Linked DNA regions of Struthio camelus. The protein of the gene in region 1 interacts with the protein of each later gene in a pairwise test. Links are inferred from orthologs where the notes say so. Each region holds a gene or a part of one and is shown on either strand. Other genes may lie near its edges. The genes, in order: NPAS2 and BMAL1.

The links.
Region 2: the proteins of NPAS2 (region 1) and BMAL1 interact in binary tests that used the Homo sapiens proteins (3 or more experiments, as listed by UniProt). The link is inferred for Struthio camelus from reciprocal best matches to the Homo sapiens genes NPAS2 and BMAL1.

Annotation. Positions count from the first base shown.
Region 1 is NC_090942.1:152,094,453-152,101,893, forward strand, and holds the start of NPAS2 (neuronal PAS domain-containing protein 2), read left to right. Parts: upstream 1-4,426; 5' UTR 4,427-5,562; coding exon 5,563-5,840; intron 5,841-7,441. UniProt on the Homo sapiens protein: Transcriptional activator which forms a core component of the circadian clock.
Region 2 is NC_090946.1:25,520,423-25,528,505, forward strand, and holds the start of BMAL1 (basic helix-loop-helix ARNT-like protein 1), read left to right. Parts: upstream 1-4,940; 5' UTR 4,941-5,040; exon of another isoform or gene 5,041-5,177; intron 5,178-5,560; exon of another isoform or gene 5,561-5,708; intron 5,709-8,083. UniProt on the Homo sapiens protein: Transcriptional activator which forms a core component of the circadian clock.

The DNA.
Region 1 (7,441 bases):
TAGACAGGAGGTCTCTGTCAAATCTGCCAGCAATTGAAATATTTGCATGGATCCATAGGGATTGTGCCTTGCCAAAAAATACTACCTGAGCCCCAAATTAATGCAGTTGTTTTTCTTAGTCGAGGTAAGGCTGCAGATGCTACATCTGTGTTCAGACTTCTCCCAGCCATTCTTAATTCAAAGACTGTGGCACTATAACCCTTTATTATCTTCTGTTTCATTGTGATTTCCAGAGAAAAATAGCAGATCCTTTTCTCTAGGGTTTGAAATTGAACTTCATTTTCTTGAACAGCTGTCAAAGCTAAACAAGCTCAATCAGCCTGATTTTGGAACTGAGTGTTTCTCGTAGGTACTGCCAGGCCATTATTCCGTATTAACCAGTGCAGTCCCTCTGAAACAGGACTTTGCCATGGGACGTATTCCCATCCTGGCGGGAGTGAGTGAAATGTCTCGTATGGGCCAAGAGGTCCACAGGAACAAAGGGCATTGTCAGCCGGAGAATGAGAGGATCATCTCATCTTTCACACACGAGGAACAATTATTTCCGCAGCCTTGAGCTTTGGCTCTCCGAGCTGCCACACACATGCAGTACGCTCCATGGCAATTGAATGCATACGTACAGCTCAGGCTCCAGGACTGCTTCACTTCACAGGAAGGCTGTAAATGCTCAGCCACCGGACTGTAGGGCCCTGGTAGGCTTTAAGGCTTTCTTCACCCCCAGCAACAATTCCAGATGTTCTAGACATGAAATCTATTCAATATTTAGTCGCTGATTTTTTCAGCCCATGCCTTCTTCCTTTCCCCGCTCCTTGCACTAACCACTTAAAGAAAACCTGCAAACCCTTGGTTGCATAAGATGGAAAAATCAAACCTTCAGGTAGGTTGCCTATTATACTATGTTCTTCTGTGAAAACCTTGGGAATGGATAAAATTTTGCTTGAAAAGGCTAAAGAAAGGTCAAATCAACAAATCGGTTCTTCTCTTTTAATAACTGTGCAGAAAAACAAGGAGTTCGGCTTGCTAGCTGAACAGAGCCTGAAGACCCATCAGACATCTTACTCTTGCAGCAGCACCACCACATTTGAAGTCCATTTCTCTCTGGCATCTCTCTGCCTTTCCTTGATTCAGAGGCTGTGCTGCTGGTTGATATGTACTATCTCTCCCTCCTTTGGGAAGTTATAAGCTGCAGATTGAAAAGTAGTGCTGATTCTCTAGAAAGTGTTCCTCTCTGCAGAAATTTCTGCCAAAATTGGTTACAGAAGTGTTTTGCACAAAGAAGTAGCTCCTCACATCTGTCCACCCACTCCCATGCTCACCTCCATGCTAGAAAGCAGTGTATTTCCCACTAGGAACTGCTTGTGCAACTGCTTCAATTAATAGAAGCCCCTAGATTTATTTGACCTGGGTTTATCCTTGTTGCTGCTTCTTTTGACATGGAAGGTAGGGAAGCAAGCAGCCTGAAGTCTGTCCTATCCTTTAATTAATACTAGGGTAATATTAAACAAGTTAATCCTTGTCCATCTTCTTCCTCCTTAATTGAAAACTTAAGAGAATATCTTTGTGCAAGCTGGTCTTCTCTTTGAGGGTCCTTTATTCTTTTTTATCATCCCCCTCGCCCCACAATGCCATGACTTTTGCGCCATTTTTGCTACTTATGCTACAGGATTATTATTTTGAGGGCCCCCTTTTACATATGCACAAGCACTAATCCAAATATAGGCTTTATATGTGAAATATTGGTTACAAATTGCCTTTCACCTCTCAGCAACACATACTTGGGTCCATTAAATGTTAAAAGCGTTCATATCGCATAGGTAATATCTCTGCTTGACTTCCAGGTTGTCAGCTGAGAAATGTTCACGGGGGTGAAGCTGAGGGTTACATCATGTGGCGGTGGTGGCACTGCACAGTTCACATCCCTGGCAGTGAGGGAAAGTAAGCTAGCAGAGTTAAAGACAGCATGTCCGGGCTGTGATCGCACCCGGTTCCACATCCCTCCCATGCACTCTCCACAATGGAGCAGTGAGGTCCCCGGGGCCGGGGGCTACCGTCATCTCCTGCTCTTCCCTTTGGCCCTCCACCCTGGGAGGCACCTACCTTGTGGTTCCCGGGCCATTGCAACCACTGATGTGTCATTGCTGGGCGGTGAAGGTTAGCCAGCCTATTCTAGTCAAAACAAAAGGGATTACTACATTGGATCATAGACTCCTGATGTCTGAAAAGTAGTTTACAGACATTTTGTGACTATAAAATGTTTTCAAGTTTTAAAATAAAACGTTGGGCTCTTTCCCTCAATTTCTTATATGCGGCATCTAGTCCTCTGGGTAATTTCCACACAAAATACAGCACTGACAGTATTTTGTTATTTCCCATCGGTAACTAGTCTAATAAAAATTATGTGTGTTTTGAATGGTTAGTGTTTCACAATGGAACTCAGGTATGTGCTGGGAAAACCCTGCCTTGCCCTCAGCCAAGCTGCTGATTGTTGCCCTAATTAAAGTTTACTGTGGTAACCTAGGGAATGAATTAATAAACAAACCTTAACCAATTTCACATTTTCACTTGTGCAATGAAGTCATTACGAATTTACAGGGAAAACGCTAAAGTAAGGCACAGGTATAATTTTGTATATGTGCTCCTATGTCTTGCAGATTGCCTTTCTCAGCATGGTATTTACCTTAAGGCACTTGTTTTTACAGTTTTTGAAAGTGCATAGCCGTTTGGGGGCAAGGTTTTGTTCTGTTTTCAGAAGGACTGGAATATCAAAGCAGGTGATATATAATCTTGGGAAGTTCCTCTTCTCTGACCTTACAAGGCTTGAAGATCTTACGCTATACTTCGTTGTGCAATACAAGAAAAATACCTCAGAAAGAGAAATGTCTTTTATTCCACTCTCCATGTATCTGATGGTTTATTCCCTCAGGCACTACTTGTTTGCCAAAGGATTGTTTAACCACTGTTTGACAATTTCCAAATGGGAAAAAATACTGGGTTTCATCCAAAGGAAGGGAGGAGCTTTCAAAGTTTTGTATTTAATCTTGGTTAAAAGTAAACAACGTTACCCTTTCAACATTAGTCATGCCTGTTGTATAAAGTACGGTGGTGTAAAAGTGCTCAGCTAAAAGAACGTAACATTTTTCCATACTTTGTAATCATTAACATTTGCGTTCAGGAATAAATCAAATCATATAACTAGCTAGATATGCCATCGGCGGGGGGGGGGGTGGGGTGGGGGACGCTGGGTGTCACCGCAGGATAACTGGGGTAGCTGCAAAGGCCATATAGCTGTGCAAAGCCGCGAGGCTCTTTTCTGGAGCCAGGTGGCTGGAGCAACCTTCAACCCACACACTGCGCCCACACAGGCAGACTTGGTGTGGGCAGAGAGGTCTCTGCTGGCTATTATTTTACATGGCTTAACGTGTCTCTGATAACGAGGCAGAACAGAGCAAAGGAGAAGGGAAACAGCTCCCACCACACCAACTCTGCTGCCACAGGTATAGCAGGACCTGCTGGTGGAGACACAGCTGGCACCAGCCTACGGGGCTTTTCCTCACTGCTCTCAACAACAGAAACGGCTACCCTAAAAAGCAAATACCTCGTGCTAGCAGGCCAACCCTTTGGCAGGTGCAAGAAGTACCTACTCCAGGCCTTTCTCCAGCAGAGCAATGGGTTTTTTTGGCCGTGCAGACACAGAGCAGAGCCGGGAGCCCCGGGTGTGGCGGGGGCTGCGGGGCAAGGGGTGAAGCCCGGGCTCCCTGCAGAGCCGGCCGTGGTGGCAGGGCTCCCGGCCCCGGCTCCTGCTGCTGTCGGCAGGTGCCGGAGCAGCGGGTCTCGGCACACACCAGGGAAATGAGGGGGGCAGTGCCGTGTCCCCACGCCGCTGCCACTGCTGCCCTCCTGTCCCGGGGGGCAGCCCCTCGGCCTTGCTCGCTGCCCCAGGCAGAAGACAGCAGGACTGACTGCCCAGCGGGGAGAAAGCGAGCCCCAAAATAAACGGCCCCTCCTAGGCTCCAGCATATTTCCTTATCTCACACTGGCTACGTTTCAGGAGGAGTATTAGGCAAAAATAATGCAAAGTGGGGAATAAAAAGAATGACCTACTTTGGGGGGAGAAAAAAAAAAAAAAAGCAGCTCTCTGTCAAGGTTTTGCTCTAATTGCCGGTACGGCGTTGCATAACCAAATCGGGAATTACTGCCCCGTGCCCGGCGAGGCGGAGAGCCTGCCCCGGGGCAGCGCCGTGCTGCGGGGCCCGGCCCGGCCCGGCTGGGCTCCCGCGGCCACCCACGGGCACGGAGCCGGGGCCGCCCCCCGGTCACCCCTCCGCCGGCCGGGGCTGCCTGCCCCTGCCCGGGGGCGAGCGGCTGGGGCGGGGGGAGTGGGTGTCCGCAGTCCGCCAGGCGAAGCCGTGCCAGCCGGGGCGGGCTGTGCCGAGCCGAGCCGAGCCGGGCCGGGCCGGGCCGGCAGCCCCGGGCAGCAGAGCACCTGGGCGCAGCCCTGCCCGGCGGGGACGGCGGCACCGTGGGCGGCTGGCGTGGAGGCGCCTCCTGGGGTCAGGCTATAGGGGCGGCCGCCGGTGACCGCCGGGTTATAGCTATAGACATACGTAAATGCAGGCACGCCGGGCTTTGCTCGAGGCGTTGCGAAACCATCCTTGATTTCGGGCTGGGTTTTTGGTTGATTTTTTTTTTTTTCCCCTGCTTCCCCTTTCGTTCTCTTTCCAGCTTCTCCTTTTCTTGGATCTTCGCCTGTCTCCTCCCACAGAACGAGAGAGAGAGAGAGAGAGAGAGAGAGAAAAAAAAAAGGTCACGTATGTTTGGAAAAATATGTAGGTCAGTGGAACATTCCCTGCACTTGTGCAAACGGAGACGGGGAGGGAGAGCTCCTCTGCAGCCCTTTCGCTACCCACCTCCCCAGCCCGTCCCTCCCCAAAGCCCGCCGCTCTCCAAAGAGGGGAGGGGGCACGCAATCCGCAGCTCCCCTTTTCCCCCCTCCCTGACCCATTTTGCACACAAGCGTCGGGTTTGGGCTCCCCCCCCCACCCCTTTCCTTCCCTGGTAGAGAGGAAGCCGGCGCGGGCGAGCACGGCCCTTGCGCGCCGCCGCCAGCCCCCGCGGCCGCGGCTCCCCATGGGCGCGGGGCGTGGGGCGCGCCCCCCCAGCGCCGCCGGCTGAGGGTGCGGGGCGGCAGCCCGCCGGCGACGACGACGACGACGACGAGGAGGAGGAGGAGGACGGCGATGAAGGACCCGCGGAGAGGATGCCCCCGCCTCGCCCGCGGGGCTCCAACTTTGCGGAGAACTATCGGCCCCGCAGTCCCCGCGCCCGCCCTGCCCCTCCCGGCCGCGCATTTAACTTAATGCACCAGCGGGAGCCCGAGCCAGCAGCCCCCCTGGTCCCCCCCGGCCTCCTCCCCCTCCTCCTCCTCCTCCTCCTCCCCCCCCCTCGGCAGCAGCCCGGGCTCCCGGCGGCCTCCCGCTGCCGGCGGAGCCCCTGGCCCCGGCGCGCGTGGGTCCCGCGGCGCCCGGGCAGGCGGCAGCGCGGCATGCGGCGGCCCCGCGCACCATGAGACACGGCACCGGCACCGGCGGCAGGCAGGCGGCGGCGGGCAGCGTCCCCGGCTCGTCGGCTGCGAGGAAGAGTTTGCCGGCTCCCGAGGCCGGCCTGCCGAGCGGCTGGAGCAGCAGCGGCGGCCGCTGCCGCAGCGGTACCGGCAGGCACCGGAAAAGCGGCGGCACCGGCGGCTCCCGCGCCCAGGTGGCCACCGCGGACAGCAGCAGCAGCGGCGGCGGCGGCGGCGGTTGGGGCTTCCCCGCCGCCCTCCCGCAGCCCCGGCACCCCAGGTAACGCGCGGCCCTGCCGCCGGCACCGACCCCCCCCCCCGCCGCGTCCACCCGCGGCGCCCACGCAGGACGCCCACGCGCCGCGCTCGCACCCCCCCCACCTCCCGCGCTCTTCCCGGGCTCCGTGAGTAAGGGCCGGCCCCGCGGCGCCCCTCTTCGCGGCAGGGTGGTTTGGGGTCGGCGCCGCTCCCCGCGCGGGGGGAGAGGGGGGAGCAGCGTGTCCGGCGGCGCGGGCGGCATCGCTTCCGCCGCGGGAAAGTTTCCGCGTGGCCCGCGCTGGGGGCAGCCGGTCCCTGCGGGGACGGGCCCATGCGGCCTGGCCCGGCCGCCAGCGAGACCTGGTGCAGAGCAGGCTTGGCCCATCAGTCTGAGCGAAATAAAATGCCCCCCGCCCCCATCTCGTTTTGGTGTAGTTTGCAATTTGCTGCCGCCATAGGCTCGTTCAGGCTAGACCGGCGCAGGGGCTGAGAAGGGACCTGGCACGGTTCAGGCGAGGAAAACTTCCAGTAAGAGCAATGGGATTTTTGCATGGGTGAAGGTTCGTGGTGGGGACCAGAGGTTGTGTCCTTTGCTGCAGGAGCCCTGCTGCTGAAACCGTGTGCCAGGCTCCTGCTTGCTTTCCTTTCGTGCGCAGAACTGGGGGGGGAGAAATGTTAAATACACGGCCGAGCGGCAACACGGCACGTCTTTCATGCGGAGTTGTGCGGTGAGGCTTTCCTGTATGGTCGCTAGTCTGATTTGGCAATTAGCAAGCACGCTCATCCGTAAACTTTACTGGGTACTCCTTAACTGTCTGCAGGATAGCAGTTTACTTTCACTCAAGTGACTCAGAAATAATTAGCGGTTATAAGCATTGCAGCCAGCAGAGGAACTTTAATCTTTTCATGGTGCTAAATCTCCAGAAGGGCTATGGGATTCCCCCGGAGGAGCATGGCTAACGTGAGCTTTCGGCGCACGCTCAACAAGTGGCTGGATCCTGAAGTGGAAAATTCTCTCGCTCTTACCCCTGCGTGAAATGTTAATTTGTACCCCACCGTGGTTGGAGTTTGTTTGGTGGTACTAAATAATCAGCGTTCACAGTTTCTGGACGGAGCCGGTTCATCCGCTGATCCGTATCTGGTTCTGAAAGCTGTCGGCTGGCTAAGGGCCCAATCCTGCCTACATTTCTGTAAATGAATATTGACACGGAGTTGCTCTGCAGGGATGGCCTGGAAACAGCAATCTTCAGAGAATGTAATTGCCAAGCTATACACCATCCCCATTGAGCATGTGTAATTAAGTTTTTTCAAAACCAGGTATCGGACGCCAGGGTGATTCCCCAAGCCAGCAGCATTTCTACAACCTACCGCAAACCATGCCGACAGTAGACTTGCCTAAAAGTACTTTTCCTCAAGAATAAAGGTGCTGCTCTGCATGTGTGCAAGGCTGAACCCACACACTGCACTTCACAGAATTATGTCTCATGCCCCATTTTCTAGGCCAGGGCATGCAAGAACACTTGAATTCATTTCACTTGGAGTAAGAATCATTATTTTATCATAGGTAGAAATGTTGCCCACAGTTAATCTTATCTGGTACTTCTCCAGTATAATGCTCTGGTT
Region 2 (8,083 bases), on another chromosome or scaffold:
CTTTCAGTGCTTCAAGCATACCACCGTTGAAGTGAAGTTGCCACTACTCTCCTAAAGAAACAGGCTGGATGAGAAACGAAAAGAGCTAGCTATAGATTTTCTTGATAGTAAGAAAGAAACAGATTACTCTGATTCAAGGATGCAGTGACAGCAGACCATACAAAGCTGTGACATCCCCTTCCCGAAAAAGACAGTAAGACTCCACACTGGATCTTTCTGTCCTCAATAAACGATGAAGTAATGTGGCCATCAATTTCAAGACAGTCAGATAGGTCAGATAGGACTAATTCTATTTTAACAAAATTGCTGATAGAAACTTTTTTGGAGGCAAAAATCTTACAGTAATTCACTTCAGGTTTTTCTATGATGCTTAAATATAAGAAAGGAATATGGTGTTGGATCAAGATCATTATAAGGATGGTTAAAGTTTTTTATGTATCAACAAAAATGGTAAATAAATCTTTAGTATATATTTTGATAAAATCTTAGAAAAAAAGAAAAATATTAAAGATAAGCCTCTGATGGAAATTTTTTCTTATTTAATTTAAGGTATTCTCTTCAATAAAATTTAAAACAGCTCTGCTTCAAGTTGAGATACTTCCAGTCTCTGAAAAAAACAGACCCTGATTTGGCCTTGAAATTAACTCCGTATCTTTGTAATGGAGCAAAAAAATTGAAATCAGTTTGACCTTTGTAAGTTTAAATCCAAATAAAGATACAAATGCTTTTTTATTGGGCCTTCCATAAACATCGAAAAAATATTGCAGAGAATTACTTACAATTTCTGGTCTTAATCTCATTTTCCTCATTAGATTCTTCTTCCTTTTCCTGTTACGTTGCCAGATACTGGATTGCCAACTCTTGAGAGTTCCTACTGAATCTCAGAATATTAATTGGTGTTCTTAAGAGACCACAGGGCTGAAATCAACAGATTGTGTAAGAATCTTCTTTCTCTTTTTTCTCAAATGAGCTTCTAGCTCCTGTAACTAAGACAAAGGTTTTAAAGATGAAAAATGGTTTTTAAAATCTCAGAAAGAAGCAAGCACATGAAAAAGTCTGTATTTGTTACTTTATATTTAGTGATTTTTAATGCTCAAATTTGGAAATATTGTGGCAGGAGTAAGTAAGCAGTTTTAAAGTGACAAGTGTTTATACAAACAAAAACAGGAAAAGCTTATACTTCCCGACCTTAGGTGTTGTAATATATTAAGAATTTGAAGAACCTTGAAAAGAATGATTAAGCTATTGCTCACTGAGACAAAACTTCTGTTTTAAAGAGGAAGTTTAAGCCAGCCACACATGAGTTGTGACAGACTATAATAAATAGACTATCCCTGTGAGTTTTTTGCAACCAGTTGCAAAATGATACTGAGCCATAGCACTCAGTTCTCACAACTGAGTTGAAGCACAGCATTACCTTTGTATGAGAAGGTGGGAAATGTGGCTCAGTATGTCTCTGGCTTCTTTTTAAGTATATACAGAACAAGAAATCCAAGTATCAAGTTATTAAGTCTTGCTAATTTTCTATGAGCTATAAATTCTCCTGCTGCTACTTAGATCATAGCCTGGATGTCACAGTAAATTTCCAAGAATCAAATAGAGGAAGAGACTGGACAGAAGGGTAAGACAGAAGAGTATAATAATAGGGTTATTATTTTAGGTCAAAAGATCTATAAACAAACAGCAGATGTTTAAAATGTTGTAAAGCAGCTACATCCACATTTATGTGCTAATATATATATATAATATGTCTTGGAAAACATTACAAAAATAAATATATAAAATGATATTTCCAAACTATCTTATACAAACTCATTCTCCAAAGACTCAGAGATTTGTCTCCCTCTGTATCTCCAATTGGGGTCATGAATCATGATTCAGAAAAAACACAACTAAAACTTCAAAGAAATAATTTGGCAGGTTACTTCTGAATTTCTGAACATCTGTTGTTGTTACACAGACATATTGGGCACTGTCTGAAGGTAAAGAAAAATGTTCTCAACTTTTGGGTAATGGTTTGAGAAATTAGACTTCTTTTTGTGTATGCAACAATAGTTGGATACAAAAATTAGATGAAAACTTGCAGATTCTAAAATGAAGCCACTGATATATTGCCTCATTATATCTAAAATAAGCTGTATTTCATGGAGATTATACTCCCTACTCTTCTTGATACAAAGTCAAAAATCTAGGAATAGGGAAGATTACTATAGCCTTCAAATGTGAAAACAATGAAGAAAATGAATAGGTGGGAACACAGGCTAGTAGTTTCAATAGTCTATTAATAAATGCAATTTTCGGTACAATCACCACACAGCAGACTCTCCTCCCATTTTTAAACTGTAATGTTAAGCCAGAAATTAGTCTAAATTCCAGTGTTTAAGTAGGGTGTAACCTACTTATGCATATCGTTAAAGAGGCAGTTAAATTTCTGCTTAAGGTCTAGTTTACTATCTTCTCTAAAATAGTGTAAAACCTGAAAATTAATCAGGTCAGAGTCAATCAGACAAATCAGAAGCACAGCGCCCTGAGCAGAACACACCACTGAGCAGGTCTTTCAAGCATGGTCCACATTTTGTGGTGTGATCTCACCTTCAAGTACTCCTTCAAGTACTCTCCATTAAGGAAAATGTACCTATCATAGATTTGCTCAAGCCTCATCTCCTGTTTACTTTTCGTGCTTATAAATGGGTAGTAGAAGGGTGAAGCAAACTTTTCTGCCAATAGTAGTGAACTCAGATCTCATCAAATGTCAAACTGTCATTTCTTAACTCTTCAGTGATAAACTTTGCATGCTTAACATTTTAAGCTGTAATAGTCATCTATAAAATGCTTTATTGACATACAGAGAGAAGTTCCCTGCATGGAACTTAAAGATATAATCTGTTAAAAAAGAAAGGTATAGAATATGAGTGAATATGAGTGGTAATATCATCATATGCTGAAAACAAGGATTTGATTCACCAGATGCTGTTACTTTCTTTAATATCTCATGAATAGAAAGTACAGTATATAAACAAATCAAAATAATCATTTACTGGGAAATTATGACATGCGGCCCACTAAGCTGCTTTCCTGCAGAAATAACTAAAGATCATTACTCTTGGCATCATTCCCTACAACAGTCACTGGGCTCATTAAAAGAGACAGTATGTGACTGAGTGTATAAGGAAGATTTTTTCTACAGGTGGGTAGAAACAATGATGAAAACTACAAAGGCTTGTGAGAAAGAAGTAGTCAAGGAGATTTCTCCACCTCCATAACTTCTGCGCACTAAAACAAATGGAAGCAATAACAGCAAAACAGTCCCCGAGAACTGATGCATTGTGTCCTTTTTTCACGGTACACATTTTCATTTGGTTAATATATGATATGCCATTTACCTTGCTCTTCTGGAAGGTTGTTCCTTGAGTAGGAATATCATGATGTGAATAGGAAGTTGGCATCCAACAGGGGCCACTTTTTGGCTGTGCTGAGTTCCAGGTCAATTAGGTGGAAACTAAACCTTAATGCTGTCATAGGTTGAGTTCACATTCTGTGACAGTGGATTAGAATAACCACAACTGCATTGTAATTAGATAATACCGCTACCCACACTTCTCTGGTGATGTGGTATTAGTAAATATAAACCAAACATTTGTGACACGTCATCCCAAGACAGGAAATGTCAATGTTAAGACAATGATAATGTGGCAATGACAATCTGACGTAGTAATAAAACAGTAACATTTGAACAACATTTGCATTTGATTGCAACTACGTTGTAACTTCGTTCTTGCAACACATCCCCTTAACATGCCAGCGTTGTCGCATGGATGATGGTTTTCCGACTCAATTATTAGAAGATATCTAAGTTCGCACTATAAAATGGTGTAGTGGACGGCTTTACCATGCTCTGCCACTGGCCTTTTTAAACACCGAAAAAAATTATTGCAGCTTACAGTGCATTAGAGAGTCACATTCTGAGATGACATAGCATTTATGGCAGTAAAACTGAGGGCAGCATCGTACATGTGCTTCTGTGACATTCTGAAGGGTGCAGTGAAGAAGGAGGTCTCATCAAATATGATGTGCACGTGATGCAATAGCAACTTATAGATGTCATATCATATACAAGAACATATACATACAATACAGCAACGTGAGGCAGATACAATGCTGCGGTTTGCTAAAGAAGGTGGACGTCATTGAGAACGACCTTGCAGTCTACGGATGCAGCCGAGGAGGCAGTAGGATAGAAGGAGCATAGCATGACAGGACAATCATGGTCAGGTCATGCTGAAAAACAGCGAGGGCAGGGAGTCCATGCTGGAAGAGTAATGAGGCACATGCCTGTCTGCCCCGAGCTGGGCAGCACTGCCTCTGGCCAGCTGTGAGAAGCCCCCAGCTCCGTGAGGCAACAAGGATGCTGGAGGTGGCCAGGCCTTAGCTGCCGCCACACAGGCCGGCATGGGCCCTCGCTTTGCCACGGCAGCGGATGCTGGGCCAGAAGGTGGGGAGGGCAGGCCTAGAACAGGCGGTCGCAAAGTGCAGCAAGGCCGAGTGACGTCACGGCAGGCCGCGGTGACCTTGATGCTTCAGAAGTGACGCCACGGCACGGGACGATGTCACACCAATGACGTAGAGCCACGGGTGAGTCACGGCGGCGGCAGTGAGGCTGCTGAAGGGAATAAGGACGAGCAGCTCGCAGCACAGCGCTCCGCCCGCCGCTGCGCGCACCACCAGGGAACACCACAGGAGAAGCAACCGCCAAAACCGCCACGCCGCGAGCGCCACATCCGGGTCCCCCGCGCAACCGCCCCCCCCCCCACCGCGCACGCGCCTCCCCCGCGGCTAGGAGGCGGGACTGAAGGTCCCAGCCGCCTTTCTGATTGGCTGGCTTCTCGGGGGCGCCCGGGGATTAGCTGCTGTTTAGGAGGGCGGGCGTTGCCTGCCCGCCTGGCCGGCCATTGGGCAGAGCCGCCGGAGAGCCGCTCGCCCGTTGGCGGACCGGCGCGTCCGGTCCGGGGCCGAAGGAGGGTGCCATTGGCTGGAAAGTAGGTTAGTGGTGCGACGTTGGGTGGCAAGCCAGGCGGAAAGTAGGTCAGGGACGGGGGCTGCCTGCGCCGCGCGCCGCCGAGGGACAGCGACCCTCTCCTCCCCCCGCCCCCTCGGCCGCGGGGGCGCGTGAGCCCGCGGTGAGCCGTTAGGCGGCCGGTGGGCGACCGTTTGGGGGGCGCGCGGGGGGGGGGGCGGGGGAGAGGGGCAGTCCGCGGCTCGCGCTGGCGAGGTGGCGGGGGTCGCCCCCTGGAGGGCGGGGTTGGCCGGTCCCTCCGCTGCCCCGCTGGAGCTGCCGCCTGCGGCAGGCCACGGGGGAGCTGCCCGCCTGCGCCGGGGGAGGCGGGGGCTGCGACTTCTCCGCGGGGAGGTGGCCGGGCCCGGGCGGCGGCGGCGCCCCTCGGAGCGAGGGGGGCGAATGCGGCGGCCGCGGCGCGGGCCGCCTCGGTGCGGCGGGAGCCGGAGAGGGCGGGGCGGGGCGGGACGGGACGGGCGGCAGCCGCCTCCGCCGTTTGCAGCCGGCCCCGGCCCCTAGGGCAGAGCCGGGGCCGTGGGGTCCTGGCGACGGCGCCTCCTTGGGAGTAAGGAAGGGGCAGGAACGGGGCTCCTGGAGCTCGGGGGTGGCAGCGCTAGCTCTGCTGCTTCCCATCTCGAGTTTGCCTCGTCTAAGGGTGAGTGTGTGGTGGCTGAGGTAAGTCACGGAGTAGCGAGAGGTTGGTGCTCCCTCCCCTGCAGCAGGGATGGGTCCCCTCGGCCTCTGTCCCGCAGGTGATCCCTTTGATCTTTGTCAATGAATCAGGTGCCCTGCGTTGAAGCCAGCTTTATGTGGGGCGCGAGGAGTGTATGTATTTAACACCTCAACGACGGTGGTAGTTGGAAATCTCGATAGACTGTGAGTCTCTGACACGGAGGCCAGTCCTACCTGCAGACAGCTAGAGCCACATGGAGAGCCGCTGTGGGATTTCTTGCTTTTACTAACAGTACAGCCCAGTTACCTCCTCTCCTTGTGAGATGAATGTTTTATGGTTAAGTTAGGGTCCTCAGGCTGTCCCGTCTGGTGCTGTTACTTCTCAGCCCTCTGTGTCTGACAGCCGTATGTGTATCTTTTGCTAAGAAGGAACGTTTTTCTTTGAAAGTGAAAGTAGAATACTGACAACAGTTAAAGTGGCTTCTTGCGATCAGGATTTCGTTTTTTTATTTTTGTGGAACAAATTGTGTTTTTCATGACTGAAGTTTCTGTTATTCCAATGCCTCAATTATACTAGCTTTATAAACCTCTTAGTACCTGAAAATAACGTTGTAGTATTTTTACAAGAAGCAAGTGGGTGTGTTTGCTTGTTTTTGAAGTAGATATACTATTAGCAGTTTTTAAGTAACTTGCTTAGTATCTGGGGTAGAAAAGGGCGACTGCAGATAGCTGTCATCTTTGTAAATGATTTTGAACTCCAGTTTCTTTGTAGAATTCATTCAGGCTTTAAATAAAAATTTCTTCCAAACGTTGGTCCTTAAACATTCAAAATGAAGCTACTTCTTAATTTGTTTTTGATAGGTTAGCATTAAAGTAGCCTATTCTGCCTGTTTACTATAGTTTGGTTTTTTTAATTGAAGAGGTCTTGTAAATGGGAGCAATTGATAATGCATAGACTGCAGCCAGGTCTGTAGGGGGAAAAAAGAAAGTTGTTTTGTTTGCTTCAATTGACTATTAGTACTGGCTAACTGTCTTTGTAAATAGTCTAGCAGAAGGCTGAGGTTAAACATTGCTCCCCGAAGAATGTGGATGTTTGGTATTTGCAAGGGTATGCAAATGTAAATCATTATTTGAAGCGTCAGAAGCTGTAGAGCTCTCATATGACTATTCTAAACCAGTATTTGCCTATTAAGAGGAAAGCTTTTCCATCTTCTAAGCTTTGTGGTTTTATACTTCTCATGACCATTCATGATTTTATGCCTACTTGTGGAAATGGACTGTAAAATAACCCAATAAAATGTTGTGGTTATAGATTAATATATTGTTTCATCCTGTATTCTTTTACACAGCCTATTTCCATTGTCTGTCCCCATCACAGTTTCAGAGGATGGTATCTAGTAAGCTCGAGGTCTGTGTTTTTCTTTTTTTTTTTTTTTTTTTTGTTTTCTTGAAAGAAAAGAACAGTACATCTAGAGATTACATGAACGAGAGGGGAACACCATAGAGAACCTAAGGATAACTGCTTTATTTTGTTCTTCCCTACAAGGGCCTTTGGGGGTGTCAGGAGATTAATTTAGATGTAGCTGGGATTCTGCAAAACCAGAGCTGAAGTTAGGGCCTGCCACCACCTGCTATTAAGATACCTGCTGTATTTGGGAACCTTTGCCAAGGCCAAGAAGGTGATATTTGTAGGGGCAGTTTGTTGGAGATATTTTTTTCTTACAGATACCTGTTTTTGAAGATTCTTTTGATGGCAGGAAACCAGGGACAAGCATGGAAAGAGTGGAGAGTATTATCTTTCTACAGTAAAGAGTAGGAACAAATGAATGTTCACAGGATTTTCGTGGTAGAGCTTAGTTCTACACAATGCCTTAATACTATGCAAGACTGATGGAGCTGAAACCTAATACGATAGCTGCAGCCTGTGTGCTGCAGACGAATGAGACAGTCTTTAAAAGTGAATTGCTATCAAGCACAATGAAAATAATGAGACACCTGTAGGTTAATCAGTTTATATGATTACAAAAGCACTGGTTTCATGCTCTATTTGAGCGTTTTAAGTTGTTTTCAATGTAGACCTAACTGTATATGATAATATTTTAATAGGAGGTATAGGAAAATCTGAAGGAATTCATTGTTATTGAGTAACCCAGGCTGAATTTGGCAGATTGGTTAGAGGTGGGTTTTTTGTTTTTGTTCTATAACTTCTCATTTTTAGCTTTTATCATCAGTTTTGCACTTAGTTCTGCCTTTGAACAAGGGCAGAAAAGTGGTAAAAAGCAGGTAGGTATGTCTCCAAGTATTAGAATGCTTAAAGTTCTTGGAAAAGTTATTTTTCTTCATTGGAAAATGCTTAAT